3 linked regions of the Lepisosteus oculatus genome follow. The protein of the gene in region 3 interacts with the protein of the main gene of each other region in a pairwise test. Links are inferred from orthologs where the notes say so. Each region holds a gene or a part of one and is shown on either strand. Other genes may lie near its edges.

The links. The genes of interacting proteins can lie anywhere in the genome.
Region 1: the proteins of trim54 (region 3) and myo5b interact in binary tests that used the Homo sapiens proteins (3 or more experiments, as listed by UniProt). The two-hybrid records come from large-scale screens. The link is inferred for Lepisosteus oculatus from reciprocal best matches to the Homo sapiens genes TRIM54 and MYO5B.
Region 2: the proteins of trim54 (region 3) and spg21 interact in binary tests that used the Homo sapiens proteins (3 or more experiments, as listed by UniProt). The two-hybrid records come from large-scale screens. The link is inferred for Lepisosteus oculatus from reciprocal best matches to the Homo sapiens genes TRIM54 and SPG21.

Annotation. Positions count from the first base shown.
Region 1 is NC_090698.1:15,109,218-15,116,179, reverse strand, and holds the start of myo5b (unconventional myosin-Vb), read right to left. Parts: upstream 3,032-6,962; 5' UTR 2,821-3,031; coding exon 2,794-2,820; intron 1,813-2,793; exon of another isoform or gene 1,026-1,812; coding exon of another isoform or gene 999-1,025; intron 1-998. UniProt on the Homo sapiens protein: May be involved in vesicular trafficking via its association with the CART complex. The CART complex is necessary for efficient transferrin receptor recycling but not for EGFR degradation.
Region 2 is NC_090700.1:49,310,144-49,317,392, reverse strand, and holds the start of spg21 (maspardin), read left to right. Parts: upstream 1-4,218; 5' UTR 4,219-4,233; coding exon 4,234-4,417; intron 4,418-5,846; coding exon 5,847-5,944; intron 5,945-6,603; coding exon 6,604-6,765; intron 6,766-7,249. Other genes in the region: clpxa (caseinolytic mitochondrial matrix peptidase chaperone subunit Xa), read right to left, coding at 45-199, 757-877, 1,062-1,222, 2,358-2,412. UniProt on the Homo sapiens protein: May play a role as a negative regulatory factor in CD4-dependent T-cell activation.
Region 3 is NC_090697.1:57,978,740-57,986,761, forward strand, and holds the start of trim54 (tripartite motif-containing protein 54), read right to left. Parts: upstream 3,005-8,022; 5' UTR 2,764-3,004; coding exon 2,596-2,763; intron 1-2,595. Other genes in the region: dnajc5ga (dnaJ (Hsp40) homolog, subfamily C, member 5 gamma a), read right to left, coding at 7,265-7,368. UniProt on the Homo sapiens protein: May bind and stabilize microtubules during myotubes formation.

The DNA.
Region 1 (6,962 bases), on a different chromosome or scaffold from region 3:
ATCATAGAGACAATGGACTATTAGGCTTTCACTGACATTGCTTTAGAGTTGCACTCTGGAAACCGATGCAAAGCGTACACAACCAAACAGAGCACCAGAACAGAAACATGTCACTTAGCTTGAAGATAAATGTCCGAGGATGAAAAAGCAGAGCACAAAATTGTTGTTATTGTTGTTGTAGCACGTAAGCGCTAGAATATAAGGAAGTTGCACACACTCCCTAATGTGACAGCGAAACCACAACGAAACCAACTCGGAGAACTGCACCTGCTCTCCTGCAGTAACCTGGCTACAATAATGTCGAAGAACGGAAGAGCAAAGTTCCGCTCTTTTTCCAACTTCACCACACGCCAGGACCTATTTCACAAAAGCGCGACGTTACATAATGACACCATTGATCACCGTGGTCTCAAAACTGTAGCCTCCCTCGCGATACTCCTCGCTGAAATAAAACCCACAGAAATGTAAGTCCTCTTCTTCGCCAGGGAGATCGATGACCGACTCGCATCTTAAAACTTTCTTGCTTTTACATTTAATGAAAACCAAGTACGATGTGTATTCCCCGTTTTAAATATTTCTCACTATTTCCCCTGAAAATAGTCATTTTGAAACCACCCATCTGAAATATTGAATAATATCATCACAGCAAGTTACAGAATGTCGTTAAAAACAATAATAAAAATCAGAGAGGACACGGTTAATAATGTAATCGATTGCCAGCCAAGCACCCGGCGCTTATCTGAAACATCTATTTTCTTCCATTTGTACTTTATTCTTTTCATCGCAACACTGAGCCACGCAAGTAGAAGGATAAAAAAGGAGAGATCTCGGCCATGCGGTCTCTAAAATAGTCATATGTAATATTAGTCTGTGCCGAAGGCGCAGAGAAAATATCAGCCCGTTCTGTGCGCATTTTCACAGATCTCCCCGAACTTAAACCCCGAATCTCTCCTTCCTGAAGCCTGACGAAAACTTGTTCCACCAATATGCGTACTCACCTTTGTATAGAGTTCGTTGACTGACATTTTTTCCGCGGAGATGGGTTACCTTCTGATCACCAAAAGAAACAGGACCATGTAGCCTGGTCACAATTCCTCAGCTGTTATTATGGAAAAAAAACGCATATATTCCCATTTAAAGTATTGCCCCGGTTAGAGAGATGACTGTCCGGCGGTCGCCATTTTCGCGTAGGCACAGGTTTATAACTCCAGAACGAAAGATTGTTTTTCTTTTTCTAGTTATTATCTTTTGTGTGTGTGTGTGCTGATGAATCCCTTTTCTTTAAAACAGGCTAGGCTTCTTGGTTTTTTTTTTAATTCTTCGTCTTCTGAAAACACAAGTGTTAAACACTCCTCCACTCTTTGCTCCTCCCCGCACGCCGCTCCCAGCGCAGGTATGGACGCAAGCTGAAGGTGAGCTAAGTGTTAAATGACCAGTTTAAAAAAAAAAGCGACCGAGAGAGGGAGGCAAACGAAAAAGTAAAAAAAAAAAGGAGGGAGAAAAAAGTAGCCACGCAATTGCTCTCCTTACTTCTCCCTCGTGTCCATGGACTCGGTCATGTTTGCGTGCCGTTTAGCTGTAATCTCATTGCAGCTCGCTCCTGTCGAAACCCTTCCCGGACTACAGACACCTGCTGGCTCTCCCAGCTCAGCGCATTTCCGCATTGTCCCAGCGCGAGCACGGAGCAGCCGCCGCGAGCGACTTACCCATTCGGCACCACTGCGCCGCGAGCCGCGTTACGGCATTCCCACCTGTTACTCGGTCTGCCCGTGAAGCGCCGTAGCGCGTAGAAGCAGCTGAGGTGTTGTCGCTCGGATCTGAGATCTGCTGAACACGTTACCCATATGACGTTTCTAATTGGAGATTCACAAAGGTACATGTTTTGGATCTGGGGATTTTTGTTCATTATTTCGTGCGACACCAAGCTGCGTGTACAGGATACATCACAAAGTTAATACCCATCCTCTTTCAATAAGCACTTTATCCTAAGAGGGTCGCGGCAAGCCTGAGCTGAGCTGAACTGCCTGAGTAGGCAAAGGGCGCACTGTAGGTGGCACTACACCTGGAGTAGGCATCTTCGCAGGACACATACAAGGACAGGGGGACATTAGGACTGGGCAGCGTGTCTGTGGACTGTGGAAGGACCAGCACAGGCCGCGGCGTCACTGCGAAACTGATGATGATGTAGTCTCGCATAACTTTTTACCGCCTGAGTGCAAGTTATGTTTAGGTATTATCTCAACAGACCATAGTAAGTACAGTATATCCTGCACTACATTTAAAATTTAGTCTCAAAGAGATATAATTACAATATATATCTTAATTGAATTATTGAAAATAATTATTGAATTCATTGGAAAGCATATTTTTTGCTACATGGAGAAAAATAATCAAAAGTATTACTCCTTGTTCTTCAACATCTTGGTGAAAGGTGGCAAAGGTGAGAAAATGGGAAACGTTGCAGGACAACTTTAAAACAGCTGGTCCGTTTGAGGAAAATTTGCTGCTGGTCAAAAACACTAAGGTTTCTCACCCTTACTCGTGGATCTCTGTAGAAAGACATGGCATTGTGCCACAGCCAGACTGTATCACAGAGTAGTCAAATGTATCCTGTGTTCACAGCTTTCACCTAAACAATAGATTTCTTTACGAATTAACCCGCCATGATAAATCACTGGCCGTCACTGTCTGTGACAGCAACCACACATTTGTAAATACAAATACTGATTTCTAAATCCCATGTAAATTGAGATATTGCTGTAAACACAAGAGAGAGAAGTCAGAGGGAGTTACCTTTGCGTACAGCTCATACTCCATCATCGTTTCTGTCCACTGCGGTCTTCTCTGGCCACAGTGTCCACGGAACAACCCCAAAAATCAGGAGTAAATGTTAGCTGAAAAGAGTAGCAGCTGAGTGGATTTGAATTAAAGATCCATTTCTTCACAGTATTCCGTCTTATCCGATGTGGCAGTGTGAGGTTGCCTTTGTAACATCAGACTTCCACGAAGAGTACTGGAATAATTGTTGTCAATACTCTTTATTGCTCCACTCCCTAAACACTCCTTTCTCAGGTATGAGGTGTTGTCATCTGTTTTTGGAATCGGCCACAGGAAAATCATTCCCACGATGAAGTTGCTTTTTTTCCCTGCGCAATTGCAAAATGCTTATTTTTGCTGAATGCATTTGTTCCATCTTGTTGCTTTGGGAGAAAACAGTACAACAGGGGAGCTAGTTTTTGACGGTAAAAATGAAGAAGTCACCCATTTATAAGTGAAAATGTGCCATTTCTTTGCCTATATTGGTTTAAAAATTCACTCATTCCACTATTTCAAAACAAATCATTGACTTAATAAGAATACAGAATAATAATTCGGATGTATTTTGTGGTCTGTCAGATTAATCTCAGAACTCTGTCAAAAAAGCAGCAATTAAATAGCATTTCCTCTCTCGTTCAGACTTTCACGAGACCCTCTCTAAGTGTAGTGACCGCGCAGAAGAAGAATTCAAATTCTGTGTGTAACAGGAAGGCAGATTCTCTTCTGGTAACTCCCTGTCTGGAGTGGAGAATAGTGTCTGACTGCCAGGAGATTTCCAGGTTCAAATCCAGCCTGTGCCCCCAGAGGCTCGGAATGGGCAGTACTGATGGGCCAAGATGGACAGAAATAGACACCATGGGGTCTAGTGGGAGACCCCTGCTGTACTGGACATCAGCAGCCCAGCTGCTCATCAATGTGCCCAAAGATAAGCAATAATGGTTGTGTCAGTCCTCTGTTCAAAGTGTGTTAGTTTGGCAAGCTCATTAACTTCCCATAAGAAACTAGACAGTGAAACTAGACTAGAATGTACCAGACTGTAATCCTTTCATAGCTTTACGAACGGTCCTTTCCAGCATAATAAATGTAGTTTCTATGGGATTTTTTTATGATGAGCCTGAAGGACCAGTGTTGCCATGTCTAACCCAGCTGCCTCAGTCCTGCCCAGCTCTGGTCATGACTGGGCATCTGGGCACCACTGGTTGCAGAATTTTGCTGGCAAGAGGGTAAAGACAGAACATGACAGTCATCTGGCTGAGGTTGTCCACACCACCAGGCTCAACCTGCTGTCTAAACAAACTCCTGTAGCGATTGCGCCAGAATCTGACTCAGTCTTTTTTATTATGATTCAGTATCGACAAGGTGGCACAGTGGTGCAGTGGTTAGCATTGTTTCCTCACAGGGCTGGGGCCCTGCTTTAGTTCCAGACCTGGGGTGCTCTCCCTGTGTTCTTTCTATGTAGGTTTCCTATGGGTGCTCCTGTTTCCTCCCACAGCCCAAAGACACACAAGGAGGTTAATTGGTTTCTAGGAGTGTGTGTGCGACTGTGTTTGTGTCTGTGTGTGTGTGTCATATCATGGTCCACAAAGATATGGTATTTTACTTGGTGTGCAAATTTGAAAGTTCAGTTCACACTTGCTGCACTTGTATCAACAAGTACAGTGGTCACTTATTCACAAACCTGAGAGGACTGCCCAGACCAAAATCTCTCTGACATGGTAAATGGAACAAAGGGATGTACTGAATTTCTTGTGGGACTCCAGAAGGTGCACAGATCTCCACTGCTTTCCTAGAGAGCAGAGTGAGAGCGGAGTGAGGTATTTTCATTTAATCAACAGAGCAAGACCCACTGAGACACCATTAAAACAGCCGCCATCCTGTAGACAACCACTAGTAATCCAGATGAGATATCTATCTTTGCAACTTGGATTCTATTTTTAAAAGACAGTTGGGTTCAGCAATGACGTTGCAAAACACTTATACACGTCCACTGAACCAAAGGTTTCTGTATACAAGTTTTACAGAGCAATAGTAAAACCTCATTTAAGAGATAGTAATCTGCTCCATATCATGAAAAAAACTATCTAGATTTAGAAAGAGTTCAAAGAACAGCAACAAGTATCATTACTGCTCTAAAAGGATTTTCATATATGGTCAGGTTCAAGGAACTAAAGCTCTTAAACCTGGAAGAAGGGAAATTGAGAGCAGATTTGATTCAAGTCAACACCTAAGGGTCAACCTAGGGAACAAAGACACTGGCTCACAGCTGGAAACCACAAGGGAATCCATTTGTGTCAGAGAAACAGAACAATAAATAGCTGGATGAATCTTTAAAATTCATTCATTTTTTAACTAAATGAAAGTGAATTCATTTCTTTACTAAACTTATACCATATCTTGAATACAATGGGATCATTGCTACTGGATCTCTTGACAGGTACTCCTTTTCCTGTACATTCCATGAGCCCAATGGCATCACAATCGCTAACTTTCCCTTTAGGTCTACTCTGTCAAGTGAACTGAACTTATAGGCATCCTCTCACCTGCACCCTCCCGTGCGTTTTTCTGTGCTTAAGTTTCTCCCTGTCCTCCAGCTCCTTGTGAGGCAAGAAGCATTATTTTGATTTAGGTCTGGCAGAGGAGGAAAACTGACACATGAGAAAATCTCTCCCTCAGATATGGGGTGTCTGATGCACGTGCAGTAAGCAGGCTTGTCTCCCAAGGCCATCTGTAACTAAACACCGTCTACTCACTTTACAAAGTGTTAGTGACCGTGCAACACAAGCTCCTCCAGTGAACTAACACTGCTGGTAAGGAAACAGACTCAAATTGCTTATTAGGATACCGCTGACCACAGAACATTGATTCAGCCTCTGCCAAGCAGGAATATTGCTGACAATTAGCAGCAGGTAATTTTGCTTCAGACCTGCAAATAATTCAATTATCTACCATCTCACTCTCTCCGCAATGAAAATTAAAGAGCTGTTCATTTTGGTCATTATTTTGGTGGGGCATTGTGTTGCCATGGGTTTAAGGAGAAACAGAGAGAATGCTAACACATTGCTGGTGGATAGAGATGCCACCTTCAGAGAGTACAGTCACATACCTGTCATTAAAATAAAGACTCCAAAGGCTCCTGACTTTAAATCAAGAATGAGTGTGTGAAAGCAAAGCCCCAGGAATTAAGGTTGTTTTGATCCAAAGCCTTGGAAATTTGTAACACAGACTGCTGATCATTAAAAGCTTCAAGAAGGTTGCAACATTCATGTTTAATGATAGGCTGGAAGCAGAAACCTTGAAATATGTAATTGGAAATTCCAAGAGAAATGCTGAGATTACCATGGTTGCAAAAGTAACCTTACCTTCCTTAACTTCAGGGAGTCTGAAACAGACCGTGACTTCAGCTTCTTCACACTGGAAATTAATGCATATTAGACTCCATCCTCCTCCCAGCTGCACTGTCAATTTTGGATATAGTAGTGAAAACTTTTGATGCCACTACTCTGCAGCCTCATGAACTGAGGTAGATCTCTGTTGTTTGTGAGGAGGTGCTGTCCTTCAGGGGAAATATATTTACGCTGATGTCCTGACTACAGACCCCTCTGCACTGTAGTATAGGTTGCCCGATGACTGTCCCATTGTCCCATGCAGGTTTAGACATTAGACTACCCACATTCTTCACTGTAATGCCAGTGAAACAGCACAAAGAATGCATCAGGGAAAGAATTTGTAATTTGGTTTGTTTCGTGCTATTCACTGTTAACCAATAACACACTGGTATGTCTTTACTGGGTATTGGGTTATAGAATAAATGCGCTGAAATCTGGTAACATCTTTATTGCTGCATTTGATAATCTTCATTTCTTTTTATCTCTTTTTATTACATTTCCACTGGAGAATTAACACTTTCCATGTAACCAGTTATGACACAAATATGCTCACTTGAGAGCGCACCCCCACTGAGTTCTTGATGCACACCTGACACTGCAGGTGCAACATCATTAAATGAGAATCTCCCACGATCATCAGAAAATTAGAAGATTAAATTAATAACTTCAGGACTTTAAGAATGTTGCAAAAGTATTTCAGAAAAATGTGTTTCCTTCTTATTCAATGCCTGAACACTCTGTCCTTAGGTTCAGTTCCTT
Region 2 (7,249 bases), on a different chromosome or scaffold from region 3:
TCGGAACTAAGGCTCCTCGCTCCAAGTTTTTTTTTTCCCCTCACCTTTTTTGGGGGGGGAGGGGGTTTCTGCTGAAAAGCCAACTTCACAGCTTCCGCAGCCGATTCTGGCTCTTTGTTTAAACTCTTCTTCGAGTCGGTCTCTGACAGCACCACAAAAAAGTGGTGGCATTTTTCACATTTCACGAAGCGGGTTGAGGCTAGAACACAAAAAAAAATCAACAAACAAAAAGTTTACAGCAGGATGGATTTGACCCCCATCTTCAGGCTGGATTGAATTAAAGCTTTGGCCTACCTGCACACCACATTCTTTGGAAAACACAGCTTCATTTTTTGGAAACGCAGCTTCATATGAAATCACTCTGTACTGTAGTGATGCTTCCACTACCAACTGTAAATCTCAGTACGCTCATTCTGAAACCTACAGTCAATTTTTGTTTCAGATTTCCTTCCTTCAGCCACAAACTACTGGATTCCAGCGACAATGCATGAAAACAGTATCATTGCATCACTAGATAGATAAATATTAAAATTTAAAAAAAGCCTTCACCAGTCACCTAGTTACTGAATACAGGCATAACCAGGCCCAGCTTCTCAGAGTCAATGAGAACATACCACAAAGTGATGAAGTCATTGCAGATATAATTCTGAGGAAGGGCAAACTTGACTTATTCAGTCAGTATTAATGTTCTGAAGAAGTGTCGTCTGCTTGTCTTTGTTTTTTACACAGATCTAATACTCCTAAAATAACACTTACAGACAAAGGTTTCCACATGAGTGCATGGGTCCCCACACTTAGGACAGTGCAGATGATTTCCTCCTTTTCCTGAATTTCCAGATCCTGTGGACCTTTTCCCACTGCCTTCGCCAACGGATTTCTGGTTTTTAACAAACATTAAGAGAAAACGATCAGAAATGAAGATGTGTTTTTCAGATGTACTAAAAAAATTTAACATTACACACCCAATACAGCATTTGACCACATGGACGAAGGGATTTTTTTGTTAAAAAGCTTGACGTTCACTTCTGTGATCAGAACGAGAACAAATGAACTAGGATTACCTTTCCCCCATCTCCAGGACCATCTTTAGCTGAGCTATCCTTTGATGCAAAATACACAGCTGTCTCTGAAAACGACCGGACAGGCAGTCTCCTTGCCAAGTGAACTTCTTGTGCCCCTGGTCTGGTCAATGTATATAAGTGCATCCGAGAGCAGGAGATTCCTGTAACACAAGAGATTAGCAAACGGAGTGAGATCCTGTTGGAGGAATGCACTGGGTTTTTATTATTTAAGTCAGAGGATATTCCTGAACCAACACACCACCAGGTAAGCCTACGTTGATCTCGAGGCTAGAAAATTCACATGACTTCCACTTAAGAAGACGTCACACCTAGCACTTTTCTTCCAGGAAAAAAAAAATGATTACAGCACAAGCAACAATGAACCAGGAACACATAATGAAAGAATGGGTAAAATATCAGTTACAATGCTATATCACCATGACAAGAGAACTGTTTCTTGACCTATTTTAAATAAAAACAAAGAAAGCCTTTATAGTTCTTTGTTGATTGTTTTTTTATTGCAACTGTTGTGCTAGACTGTAACAGAAACATTTCCCCGAGGGGATAATTAAAAAGCTTCATGCACAGGTTCGTCAAGAAAGTCGCCATTTCTGTGAAAAAATACAGAATACTAGAATTTTTTTTGAAAAGGTGTAGTTAAAGGTTAACGTTAACTAATTTCATATTCAATTTTATAAAAGAGGAATGCAGATATTGTAGTGCTCTATCACATTTTAAACACGCGAATCGCCTGATAATGCACATTAGCACAGAAGCGCTCAAATTTCTGAGTTGCTTTGACCGAGTACACCAAACTCACGGCTCACAGGAGTAAGGCTTAGACATATTCTTAATAGTTACAATAATTTTTAACAGACGCCCAAAGACTAAATTGGTGTATTCATTGTTTTTTTTATCAATGGTTTTAAGGTGTTGCCAAGTGCTTTCTTCCAATAGCAAAAATAAAAATCAAGCAACAGTATTCTGGCAGGTAAATTCTCATGCTTATCAACAACGACGCAGAAGAACATCAAAATGGTACTGACAATAGGTCGGGAAAGAAAGTACAAACGAGAAACATCGTATTACAAAAAGCTCTACATGAAATACTGTAGATGTAAATTGTTAAAACTCAATAACTAACACGCATTTCGCATTTCCCAGATATTATAATGCAGCAAAGTGTGTAAAGGCAGGAAAGCAATCTACTCAAATACACGGATTATAATATAATACCATTTCCAAAAAAGCCATATGTAAACCAAATAGGAGGAAAAAACGTTTCAGAAGAGTTACCTTTATGAGCGGAATTCATTAGCAGTCTCGCGGCTGCAGAACACGTGCAGGACATAGCTGCTCACTGGTGTCCTTTACTTTAAGAAAAAAGTCCAGTCAGAAAATAAGAAGTATATTAACTCCGCACTACAGCCTTGTAACAGCACGTTCTGTTCCAGGAGTGCCGATGTTGACAAATTGTTGGTAGGCCACAGCCCGTCAACACCGAAACACAAACCAACGAATAGCAAGAACATATAAAACCGCGTCTAAAACGTTAAGACAGCACCGTTTCCCGTGACTGCAAATGTACACAATGCAAACGATGAGCAGTCGGTGTGAAACAGAAACAACAATATGGTCAAAAAGCCGTTTCTCAGGTGGCCTCAACGACAACAAACTATCCCGAAGCTACAGCTCCACACCGAGGAAAGAAATCCGTCGAGTCACGGCGTTTTAAAAGGAGGTTCCGGCTCGGACGAGGCTGTTTGTTTGTCTAGCGGAGTACACTTCGCAAACGTATTTCACGGGGAAAAAAATATTTTTTCCGTGCTATAAAGTGACACTGTATTGCACTCAGTGTGATGTAACCCCCCTACCGCTTCAATCTAGGTCAGCTAGGTATGGAGCTAACTGCACGAACCTGCCAGTGTTACGTAGCTGTTTGGGCTACATCACATGTCACAAAGGGGTGGAGAAAATAGTTAAAAAAGTGCAACTTTAGTACTGTAGTGCGAAGATGCTGATGGTTGTTTCGTGCAGTGGGGGGGGGGGGGGTGTGTGTGTGTACCATTAGAGTTTTTTTTAAACTAAAGACAAACTGCAAGAGTCATAGCACGTTTGTGTTTCCGTTTCGGCGACGTGAATTCATGTTAGCAGAACTGTCAAGTGAAATGCTGTGCTTTCGAAACAGTGTTTGGTAATGTAAACTGAAGTGTTTTCAAACCTCTTTTTCTAAAAACTCCTCATGTTTAGCACATTTTAAACATGAATGCACGTACACTATTTCCAATTCACGGGGAATCCGGAGGATCACGGCAAGTAACGGCCCCAAAGTGGAGTACCCTCTGGAAGCCAGTCCACTGCAGGACACACACAGACAGCAGGGACACGTTTCCAAAAAAGCCATTTAACCGGAGCCAGAAGCCAAAAACCAGAGCACCAGGAAGAAACCCATGTGAACAGGTGGAAAACACACAGACTCCAAGTAAACAGCACCCACGGTCCAGAATTGAACTGAGTGAAGCGAGACAGCAATTAGGATATTTTCATCTACTTTAATATATATATATATGCTGCACAGTAGTAGTACCCAGACTACAGTTTGCTGTAAATCAGTGGTTTCTATTTCTGGTCCTGGGGGAACACTGTACCTGCTGGTTTTCATTCTGTTTGCATTTTAAACTTAATTTTAAACAGATTATTTACAGTAACTTGTTTCTTTGGTCAGTCCAGAGTTTCAAAAGAACATGCAACTTACTTCCAAGTGCGCAGCTAAGTGGAAACTATATGGGGGTGCATTTAATACCGAATAAAGGAGGCACCTTTTTACCCACAGGGTTTTGGGAATCTGGACTACCCAGCCATACTGTTGAAGGCAATACCCTGGCGTCTTTCAAGAAACGGCTGGAACAGCCAACATATCTGTTTGAGGAAAGTTCTGAAACTCAGAAACTGGTACAGAGTGAGATATCCCTATTACAAATCCCATTCCACCTTTCAAGACCTGAAAATAAATGTACCGTTCTGCCCCCAAATAGTAAACTCAAATCCACAAACAAGCCTGCGATGAAGACCTCGCCTGGAGAACAAACAGGAGGACGCGGTGTTCGTCCAGGACCAGGGCTGCACATCACCGCCTGTTTATCCAAGAGTGAAAAATGTCGCTATATCTTTAATGAGCGTCAGGGTCAACGTGAAGCCTTTCTGGTCCGCGCAGAATCAGTGCGCAGATCGCGGAAGTGCCCTGCAGTGTGTGTGTGTGTCATGTGACTTTGGGAAGAGAGGAGTAGCTCTCTGCGAATCCAGGGATTTGAAAGTGTACGACAGAGAGGGGCTGGATGGTACCAAAAACAAACACGGTAATTTTCTTTGTGCTTTATGTTTTTTTCTTTCGAAAGATACGATGGTTAACCTTTTTTCAAAGACGTCCGCCCCTACGTTTGGTGTGTGTGTTCTTTTATTAATACGTTGAAAGTTAGGATCTCTGTTATTGTTGCTGACGGTAGAACTCAGTTTTACCCTATCCGTACGAAGTTCACAGTTTTTGGACCACTTTCGCAGTTTTTCTTTTAAGAAGAGAAAGTAACTTTTAATGCTATTCAGGGCACACTGGTACGCCAAAACGGTGCGCATCTGATTCGTGTATGTGTCTGCAAAAACATGACTGGAATAAAGCTCCTTTGAGCTCGTGAAAGCTGCGTGGTTTTTAGATGTTTGTGTAATATGTCCTGTTCTACGACTCAATGAACCATATCTCGGGAAGCGCTTTTACCCAAACATGTTTTTAAAACTGAATCACTGAAGTGGATTTCTTGCATTCAGCTCATAATCAAGCCCAATCACTGAAATTCATTGCCGAGTGTTGCCAAAACCTCTCTCAGATACTTTTAAGCACATGTGAACACCTATTTCCCCCCCGTATATGTTATGAGAAAGTCGTTTAAATTCAGAACGATTCAATTTTAAATTTTGCTATCAACATAGAAAAAGGAAAACAGCTGCTCGAAAAAGTACCGAGTAAAAAAAAGACGTTCACAGCGGCTACATTATAGTAATCTAAAGTATATTCTCCAGAACTATTACTATTAACCACCTGTTTTATTGTTTCCCGAAAGCTATGTTTGACTGGCACACGCGCTAAATGTAAAGTTGTGTTCTTACAGTTGTTGTTAGGGCTATGGTTAGATAAACATTTTATAAAGCGAGATGTTTTTTTCCCCAGACCAGTTGTAACAAAATATCAGAATTAAAGGATTGCAATTATTCCAGTGATTTGTCATCAACTCTAATAGTGACACAGGCTGGGGTTGAATATGCTGGGTGACCGGTGAGGGTTACCTGATGTGAATTCTTCAAGAGAATAACTGCAAAAGGTCACTTGCTAAACCATTCATGTCCCCCGTTACAGAATATTATTTCATCATGATAAAGATCTGTCAGACACTGTGCTTAAAGCTTTAAAAGCAGGGGCAGTGTAATCAATTTAATATCTCAAGCCGTATTATAATGACAAAGTGAAATAGAGAAAGCTTTGGTCACGATGGCCTTTTTCCACACAAATCATGTGGTGAGAGTGACAGATACGCTGTCAGTCTATCCTCACATGGTGAAATCTGAACTGTCAATAGCTTAGTGATGCCAAGCCAAAAGAGCCTTTTTTTATTCCTGACTTTCAGTTCTTGACATCTTTGCAGGTCAGCCATAGAATGTATAGATTTTTTTCCCTTGGTACATTCATCACCAGAGTCGGTTTATTTGTGGATATGTGTTTTTTGTGTTGTTATTAAGGCAATATTGAGCAACGTCCTTCCTCCTTCCAAGCCATGGAGGAGATAAGAGTGTCTCCTGACTACAACTGGTTCAGAAGCACAGTTCCACTTAAAAGGGTAGGTTTCTTCTCTCTCATCCTGTCTTTTCAGGTTTGGTTCTTGTAAATGAAAAACTCAGCAAAGAAAGTAAAACTCTAAGAGCCAAAAATACTTTCTTGTAACTTCCCTCGGTGAGCTTGTGGTTTGTCAGCTGTTATTCACAACATGGAATTCAGAAGCTAAACTGTACCACAGAACAAGCAATCTGCATCACAGGTGCTAGGTTACTTGTTAAAGAATAACTTATTAACTACTTTTAATATTTATTATAGTCATTTTTCAGTTTTCTTGTTCTGTGCAGCTCTTTACCAGGAGTTGAAGAATTGCTCATGAGAGGCTGATTTGTTTCAGCAGTTATCTTAGGCTGCAATCTCCTTTTTGCAACATGTTGGCAACGTGTGATTCTCATGTGACCTAAGCACACTTTTTTATAACGTGTAAAAAAAATAGTTCTCAAAAACCACTCGAGATGAGTGCTGCCATTCAGAAACTAGGTGACAAAGTACACATGGCAGACGGTTAGGCTGTGCTCCTAGATTTTCATTACAATTGGAAGAGCCCTCAGACTCATCTCACCCTGGTGTGAGTCAGTTTGGACGGTGGGGGAGGGACATGGTCTTTGTTCACCTTTCATGTGTTAAACAGTACCTTTGGAGTCTGTGTAATGTTTCCCACAGATTATCGTGGATGATGACGACAGTAAGGTTTGGTCCCTGTACGATGCAGGGCCAAAAAACATAAGGTGTCCCATCATATTCCTTCCACCTGTGAGTGGCACGGCGGATGTGTTTTTCCAGCAGGTTCTGGCTCTGACGGGATGGGGTTACCGGGTGATCTCTGTGAGTATGCCGTCGGCTGCTTTCCTCTGCATCTGTGCAGCTGTGAGATTCTGGTGGCGTGGTGCGTTACAGTTCACAGACCTATCCATGCCCTTGTTGAATATGAGCTAAAAGTTGATTTAGCAAAGAAAGCTCAGGTGTTCATGTACAGTATGAGTTCTATATTCAGTACATCAATAGTGCAACTGTAAAAACAATTGGTATTTGTCAATTCACAGTGTTAAAATGTACAGAGTATTGCAAATAAATGTAAAGAATGTTGCATGTAAATATGTTGAGAACTGTTGTGGGAAATCCTTCATCCAAGGAGCAGGACACAGTCTTTGTGGATTCAGTTGTTTTATTGAGCTCAATAATGACATCAACACGCGTTGGGTCTGCCCTGCAGGACAGACAAACTGCAAGGGTTTCCCAGCTCTTATATACAGTAAGATATATCAGGAAGGGCGGAGCGGTGGCTCTGTGGCTAAGGATCTGCGCCTGT
Region 3 (8,022 bases):
GCAACTGTCAGGTTTTATCTTTAACGTTTTTGAAAACTTTGGTGCAGCATCTTAATCCAGAAATATCAACATGAAGGGTATGTTTAAGGCACGACATTTCACTGGGCTGAGTAGACTTCAGTACTGATGTCTTTTTCATTAAAAAAAATGAAAATATGATATATAAGTATATAACATGTTTGTGTAAGGTGTCTGTGACATGCTAATTATGAACAGATCTCACATTGTCACTTACTATTATAAATTAGGGTGACTAATGTTCTAAATCAAGCATTATGCCATGTCTTATCAATGTAATAATGTAAATCAAATGACATGTTAAATATAAAACAAAATGCCTCTATGGTCATCTGAGCATGGTCATATGGGTTCTTCTTTCCTGGCACAATTTTATATTTTATAGGTAAAATAAGTTGAAGACAAACCTAAAAGAAAGATAATGCCTATAAAGCTAACACATCAACACAAATTGTTTTGTGTTTTTTCAAATTTGTAACAGACTAGTCGATGAGTCAAGGTCTTGTACAATCCAAAGATTCCATCACTTGACCCCTGAAACACAGACCTATCCTTGAGACATAGCACATTGGGAAGTAATGCTGGTTTGTGTATAACCCTCCACAGGACAACCTGCTATCCTGTAATAGCTAAATTACAAAAATTATTGCACTGAACCTTTGATTAGAATATACCCACTTAGTATTGAAATACCTCTGGTCTCTTCCGAGCTCAAAAATAACTAGGTTTTCAATTTTCAAACAGGAGGAGTTTCGGTCTGTTTGAATGTGAAAGTCACTCACAGTGTCAAGTTTCTTCATCTCAGGGGGTGACAGTAAGCATTATGGAAGACCCTACATCTGATGTACGAAGCTGGTCTTGTTGGAAAACCTGGACCAGCTGTTCATCTTTTAACTTGCTATTTGAGTTACCTTGCTTAGACATCTTTCACAAAGGTCACTGCTAAACTCCCACTCCCAGGAAAGAAGTTATGTATATGTGGGTGTAGATTGTCAGCATCGATTTTCTGTGCCTAGCCCACTACAGCTACTTAATTCATTCCAGTTTACAGTTCTGCCATAGTGATACTGGGTTATTGTAGGCCAACTAATCCCTCCAACTGCCCTGTAAGTCTTCACCCTGCATAATTCGGCAGACAGACTGGAGCCAATCAACAGGTGGCATATGCAAACTATTATTTAACCTTAGTTATTAGCCTCTATTTGCTAGATGGTAAAGATGTTCAATGGCGAGGTAAATATCCATATTGGTATAACTATCACACAACCCTATTATCACAAATCTTCACAGAAAATAATTAGAAAAAAATCTATGAAATACAGTAAATCTATATGAAATTGCACAGGAATTAGAAGAATTAGTAAACAAAAGTGAGAAGTATAATGTTATTCTGATCTGCTTTAACTCAAAATTTTAAAATACATATATTTGATAACAAAATTATTACATCTAATACTGTTGTCACGCCTATTAAAAATAGAGGTAAGCTGACTCTATAAAATAGAATAATATAATAATTTGCCAGTTTTGCAGCTGTGACAACACCCCCTGTGTAAACTGTTGCTCGGCATTAAATGTGCTGTTGTACCTAACACAGATTCACATTAAGTATGTTGAGCCCTACTACTGCCAGTGCGGCACCATTCAATAAACTCTTGTGAAGACAAAGACAAATTTCCTTATACTGTAGGTAAGATATATGTTCTAGGCATGTTAAAGCAATTTATGAAAAGGTGCATTCTCAAATGATGCTATGTAAATAATGTACATATTGATTTATAATAGCAAATTGATAGGTGAAAGGAAATGAACACTCTGAAATACCCACAAAAGCACTACACAGCCCTTAGAATAAAATAGTTTAGTGATCTGAAAGGAAGGCGGAAACATGATGTGAGGCCTGACAGTAATTTGTGTTCAAGAACATCTTGAGTGTTCCTTTCTGTTCTAGACTTTGAAAGTAGTCTTACCAAAAACTATATCATGAGGGAAACCAAGAACCCAGCAGGTATCTAAACTTTGTGAGACAACATACACAAATAAAAGGAAAGACTCGACCATGAACTGCTACCATGAGGCATGCAAATGGAAATGAAGTATTTATCATTCTGGAGTGCTGAAGGAAACTGAAAAAAGACCATCTTAGTTCAACCTTTAATCTCCAATAGGACAAAAAGGTTGCAAAAAAATCAGATAAGCTAGTTCAAACAGTGTATTGTGCTCTAACCCGAATTTCCTTTTCTGTATTTTGTTTGTTGAACTTCAGCCTCCTCGGCTCTTAAGTTATCATACGGGAGACTGTGTTGACAGTATGTTTACATTCTTCACAGACAGTTTGTCCTCCCGTCATCCACTGAGCCAAAAATACAAAACCCAGCTCTCTCAACTCCTTCTGTGATAGAAAATACAGATGATTTGTGCGATACTGTCAAATAAAAGTTCAACTGAAGCCCAAGAGACCTCAAAGAGGTCAAGGGAAGCTTGTCTTTACCATCATTTTGGCACCCACTGTCTTTAATACTATTACATTATGTTGAAAATCCTAAGTCACTTACACAAAAAAAAAGAAACCCTTACCTGGAAGACATCATTTGCACACTTCCTACACAGGTTGTGCTGGCAGGGCAGTATCACCACAGGTTTGGTGAACATTTCCAAGCAGATGGGGCAAATCAATTGCTTCTCCAAGCTGTCCATTGTGTTCGAGTCCCCCAGCAATGGTTTGTAGCCCAGCGCAAAGTTCATCCCCTCAAGAGTGCACGGCCAACTCTCTGAAAATCGTTAAATGTAACTATCGACCACTTCCCTCCTATTTCTTTCTTGCCCTCAGTCTTCTGCTCTGTTCCTCAACGATGCCTTCAACAGAATGGTTCTGTTATTTTAGCAACACTTTGTTCTGGCTAGAGTTACTTTTTCTCTAAACCTCACACTACACAGGGACTGGGATGTCCCCTCTGGCCAATGGCACTCAGATGTGGGGGAGAACAGCATTCCTTGTTCCATTTTTAACTTCTGAAATGTGATAAGGGGAATGACTGACAGACCATTTGTCAGGCCTGGATCAGATGTTTCTCAGTCACGGAGCCATGAGGGACTGCTGGAAATGCCAGCACCAACGACATGGAGTATTTAAACCGTAAACACTGGGAGGAAGACAAGAGGACATGATCAGAGATGCCAAATGAAACCTTGGCCTTTAACAATTCAATCACCTTGTTCTCTGCAACAAATCTCTGCAGTATTGTATTTCAGTACGTAATTAAAAACTATATTTCACAGCTTCTTCCCAGCAGTCAAAAACATTTCTACTTTAAAGCTGACCTTAGAAGCTTTGGCTGTGGTTATAATCTTATCATGGTTTTCAGCTCAGCCCTGAGAATTGAACAAAATATAAACAAGTCAGTGCAAGATGACAGCCTTTATGCTGTTGAGTGATTTAACAAGTTTACAAAAGGTGGATTATAACAGAAAATATTATCCCTCCAACCCCCTTTTAATTAAAAAAAACTAGTAAAACATTGCATTGCTTATTGGAAATTAAAACATTTACAAGTGACAATTCCAAAAAATATCTCCAAGACGTCACAGAAATGTCTTTATCCATTTTTCATTTCAGATTACGTACGGTCACATGTCCAAGACTTGTTATATTTATCTTCAAATTTTGACCTTGCAAATCATTTTAAAATGGTAATTAATACAATCGTTATGACTCCAAAATTAATGACTCATCATTTGCCAGATCTTATGGAACACAGCCAATCCGATTTGGAACAACTCCGTCTTCACACCCAGCAGATCCTAACGTCATTTGAGTCTTTCATCAGAATTGCAATTTTCAAAGCTCTCACTTTGAGGTGTACAACTGATGACTAACAGTCATTATTAATAGAGATGTTGTCTCTTTCTGTGTGTGGAGAGGGACTATTACTAAAACTACACTCCAAGAGTTTCAACTCCGAAAGGAAGATTAAGAAAAATTCAATCAAAAGAGAGAAAATCTTATTACCGTACTACTACTTAGCCTCCTGAAAGCAGAACTCTGAAGACACCCACTAAGTAACGAAAGAAAAAATGAGCCACACCAAACTTGATATAAACCCCACCTCCCCTCCCTTTATTTGGTGGTATAAATATACATGTTTGCAAGTCAGGTCTGTATAAGGACATTTGGAACAATAAGAAAAAGAAAAATAAGGGAACAATAATCAGCGAGACCAAAAAAAACAAGTATTTTACACAACATTTGTGAAGAAACCTAAAACAAACAGACTTCTCTGCCAGCATAACCAACATTACCATAGATACTCCTTATTTCTTAAGCCTCAAACAACAATTCCAATTTTTTGGCTACTGTCAGCTCTCCAAAACTGCCAATAAACATAATACATTCATTAAAATTAAACTTTATATATAAACTAAAAAGTAAACATTAAAATGGAAAGAATTCTTAAAATATCTGCCTTGACATCTTGTGGAGATGAATCTGTCATTTTCTAACTTAATTATTGGTAGTTAAGATTGCTAGTTGCCAGTACAAAACCGTGATTTCCACAAAAATATTGATTGATTGCTGACTGTTAATTGTATGATTTATTTGCAAACAGATTGCCATAACCTCCGTTACATAGATTTAAACAGAAACATTGTTAAATTTCAAAATTGAATAAAGCTAACTAGTGCTTGAACCTCGGTCCCAACTGTAAATACTGTACTTAAAGCAAAACCTTCTAAGCCACCAGTGAAATTATCTATTTTACTTTTTTAAACAGTTGTACACGACCATATTAAAAATTTGTTAACTAGAATGAACCTTTTCCCGAGAAAGAGGCCCAAGACTAACATCTAGTGCAGCTGGTATTTTAATATTTATTTTTGACAGCAGTCCCTGCCTTTAAACATAGTTTAAGATGGTGCATTTTTAAAACGGATTTCAGGAGAAGAAATCTGTGAATTATGAGATAAGTGGATTTTGCACTTTGTGGTTTTACAAGTTATTTAATTGATGCACTCATTCTGTTAACACTGATACTTCTGTATTTCACTAAAGTGCTGCATCATCAGTCACAAATCAATAACAAAATCTAATGACACAAAACCAATTGGCATTTTACTATAAATGAAAAAAGTATAAATGCTGTTATTTACAGGTTTCAAGGTGGGTAGTCAATTCAAAATTAAATTACGAAATCAGGGCACTTTATTATTGCCATTTTCAACTGTGCTCTGTGGCACAATATAAAGTGGCCTTATAGACTAGATACATGTATACTAAATTGCTTATTTGGGATAAGTTAGATGATGGAAACACATTTAAAACAAAAAAAATCAAAATGACCAACATTTAAAATCTAGGTTTCCTAATCCATGATCATCACTAAATAAAACCATGAAATAGTTTTGGGGACAGATGATGGGCAAACCACAGAATTAGAGAAACCACATTGCACCACACAACATACAGCTGAAAAATACAAAAAGACAGCCAACAACAGTATTTGGCAAACATTCAGTTTGTTAAAAATGCTGCAATGACACCAAAACCCAGAAATTTACTGAATGTGCTCAGCTCCCCAAAGTACAAAAAAAGTAATGGAAAACTATACTTATTAAATATCCAAACTATGAATAAGCTGGAGGACTTAGAAGGATTTGCACACAGTCTTGTGTTTAGAGTTCAAGCAATAAAAATGTCTAGCACTGAAAAATAGTTATCTACCTCGCTCATCTCATACTCACAATAGTTTAAGGACAGAGACAAAAACATTTAGACCATTTATGTGAAGAAAATGGCCTTCTTGTTACAACAGTAGACCAGTGTTAAATTATCAGCAAGTAGCACAGAAAGCAAAAAAAACATACATTTGGCATAGCAGTCTTTTATGCTGCATATATTGTCCGAGTGAAGCTTCCTGACTACACAGCATTACTTTAAAGAAAAGTACAAAAGGCTTGAAACTCTTTTGATTGATCCAGAATCCAGAAACAAAGTTCCTTCAGTAGCAGCACTCCAAGAGGTTGTGGACATAAAGTGGTCAGCACACATAACCCCGTCCTGCAGATGACTATGAGCTTGGCGTGACTCATATCTAACATACCAAAATCTTCCTTCTTGCTAGTCAAAGGCTAATGGAGCCTGAGGCCACTCTGTCGCCTCTGTACAGCACCAATACCAGAGCCCAGAAAGCCATCCTCTCAGTCACTCCAAAAACTACACTTTCCACAGCTACTACACAAAGGCTGACTATCCACCCAATACAACTAATTAGAAACAATGTAAATACACATTCCAGCACATCGCTGGTAATCCTTTCCATTAATTATGATGCCTTTTTGGTTTCCAAAAAAAAGGCCCTGTAGATTTTCATTTTGGTAGAAAAGAACCCAGAACCATTTCTTTAGGACTCTGAAATCTCACAAAAAAAATCTATTTTAATTTTATCCAATTTCCATTAAAATCAAGTACTTTAATCCTACACGGAGGGCCTGACAGGTACGAGATCTCTGTACCAGAAGCAGGAGGCCGTTTTATAATGCTCTCTTCACTCAGGAACTGGCACAGATCTCGGTGTCTTAAACCAAGGTGGTTATTTGATCAAAAACTACAATTATGTTTTGATTTTGGTCAAGCATTTATATTTTAGCATAGCACCTACATATACCTTTCGGTTTTGGGCTACAAAATGTAATGAACGGTCAAAGTAGAATTAAAGTGCTACTTTTTTCATTTAAAAAAAAGGTTGACTGGGTGATTTCTGCTTTTTATTAGGAAAAAAAAAGCAACACAACCTTGAGCTTGTAAACACTTAAACCCTCTTAAGTGAGACTCCAGAGAACTACAGACACGGCAAAGATTCTTGTTACATGGCACAAGGTCAAAACGTACAACAGAGGACATGCATCAGGTACATGCACTTAAGACACGAGCACATCCACCTATCCATGCAACAGTATCAGGATGGCACTTGGACAAAGTTTTGACCTGATAAACTGAAACTCTTTCACATCTTGACTGGGCTGTTTTGGTACAGTAGTAATTCGCTTTCCAATACCAGAGCAACATTACACTTTGATGGTGGCAATAATTGTTCCCCAACACATTTTTTTTTCTTTGTCAAGAGTGCCACATTATGCTTCATATCACATGCCATTAACTTTCCTAACCATAAACGTGTGGGAAATCACATAGGTATTGGCATCTGCGAACGTCAAGGTAGGAAGTCTTTCGAAGGGCTGGTGCTGCTAGTTAGTTCTCGGTCACGTAGCTGAGCTTTTGGCCTGTGGAAAGCTGGGTGGACTCTGAAGTGCAGATTGTGGAATGTGGCTGAATCACAATTGGAGGTCTTGTATCTGAAAAGAAAGACAAGTTTAGATGGCATATTTCACCATCTGAGCAAAGACGGACAGCTCTCAACTACACTCCTATCTTTCGCAACAATCATGTCTGTCTTCCACAGTTCTGTCCAAAATTGCTTTTTATCCTTGATATTGATATGAGGTTTTCAGCTTACAGAATACAGTTGAAGTAAGGATTTAACAAATCACTATGACTAGAAATCACTCCAAACCTTCCTTCTAAATCGTGTTGATTTAACACAGGCTGAAAAGGGATGACTCATCTTGACCAAGTTCAACCCAAATAATTCACTTTGAACCAGTGGAACAGCAGAGGAAACAAGGATGCAAATCAAATCAGTTGCATCAAAAACATGTACTTCACTGTCATTTTCTACTGAAAAAGCTTGCTTCAGAACACATAAGCACTGAGGAGCAAACCTACCTCCCCTGAAACAGCTCACCCATGTGTTCACTTGAGTCCTTTCCAGGGAAGCACGGAATAAAATGAGAAGAGTATATTTCATGACACTATTTTGAAAACCCCATTTCAAAACTAAAGTCCAGTGCTCCTACAAACCAAGGTACGGTTAAAGATGAACACTGCCTTTATCTTTCCTCAAGCAAAAGAGGTTTACAATGGAAACCTTTTAAAAGAAGGTGGTTGAT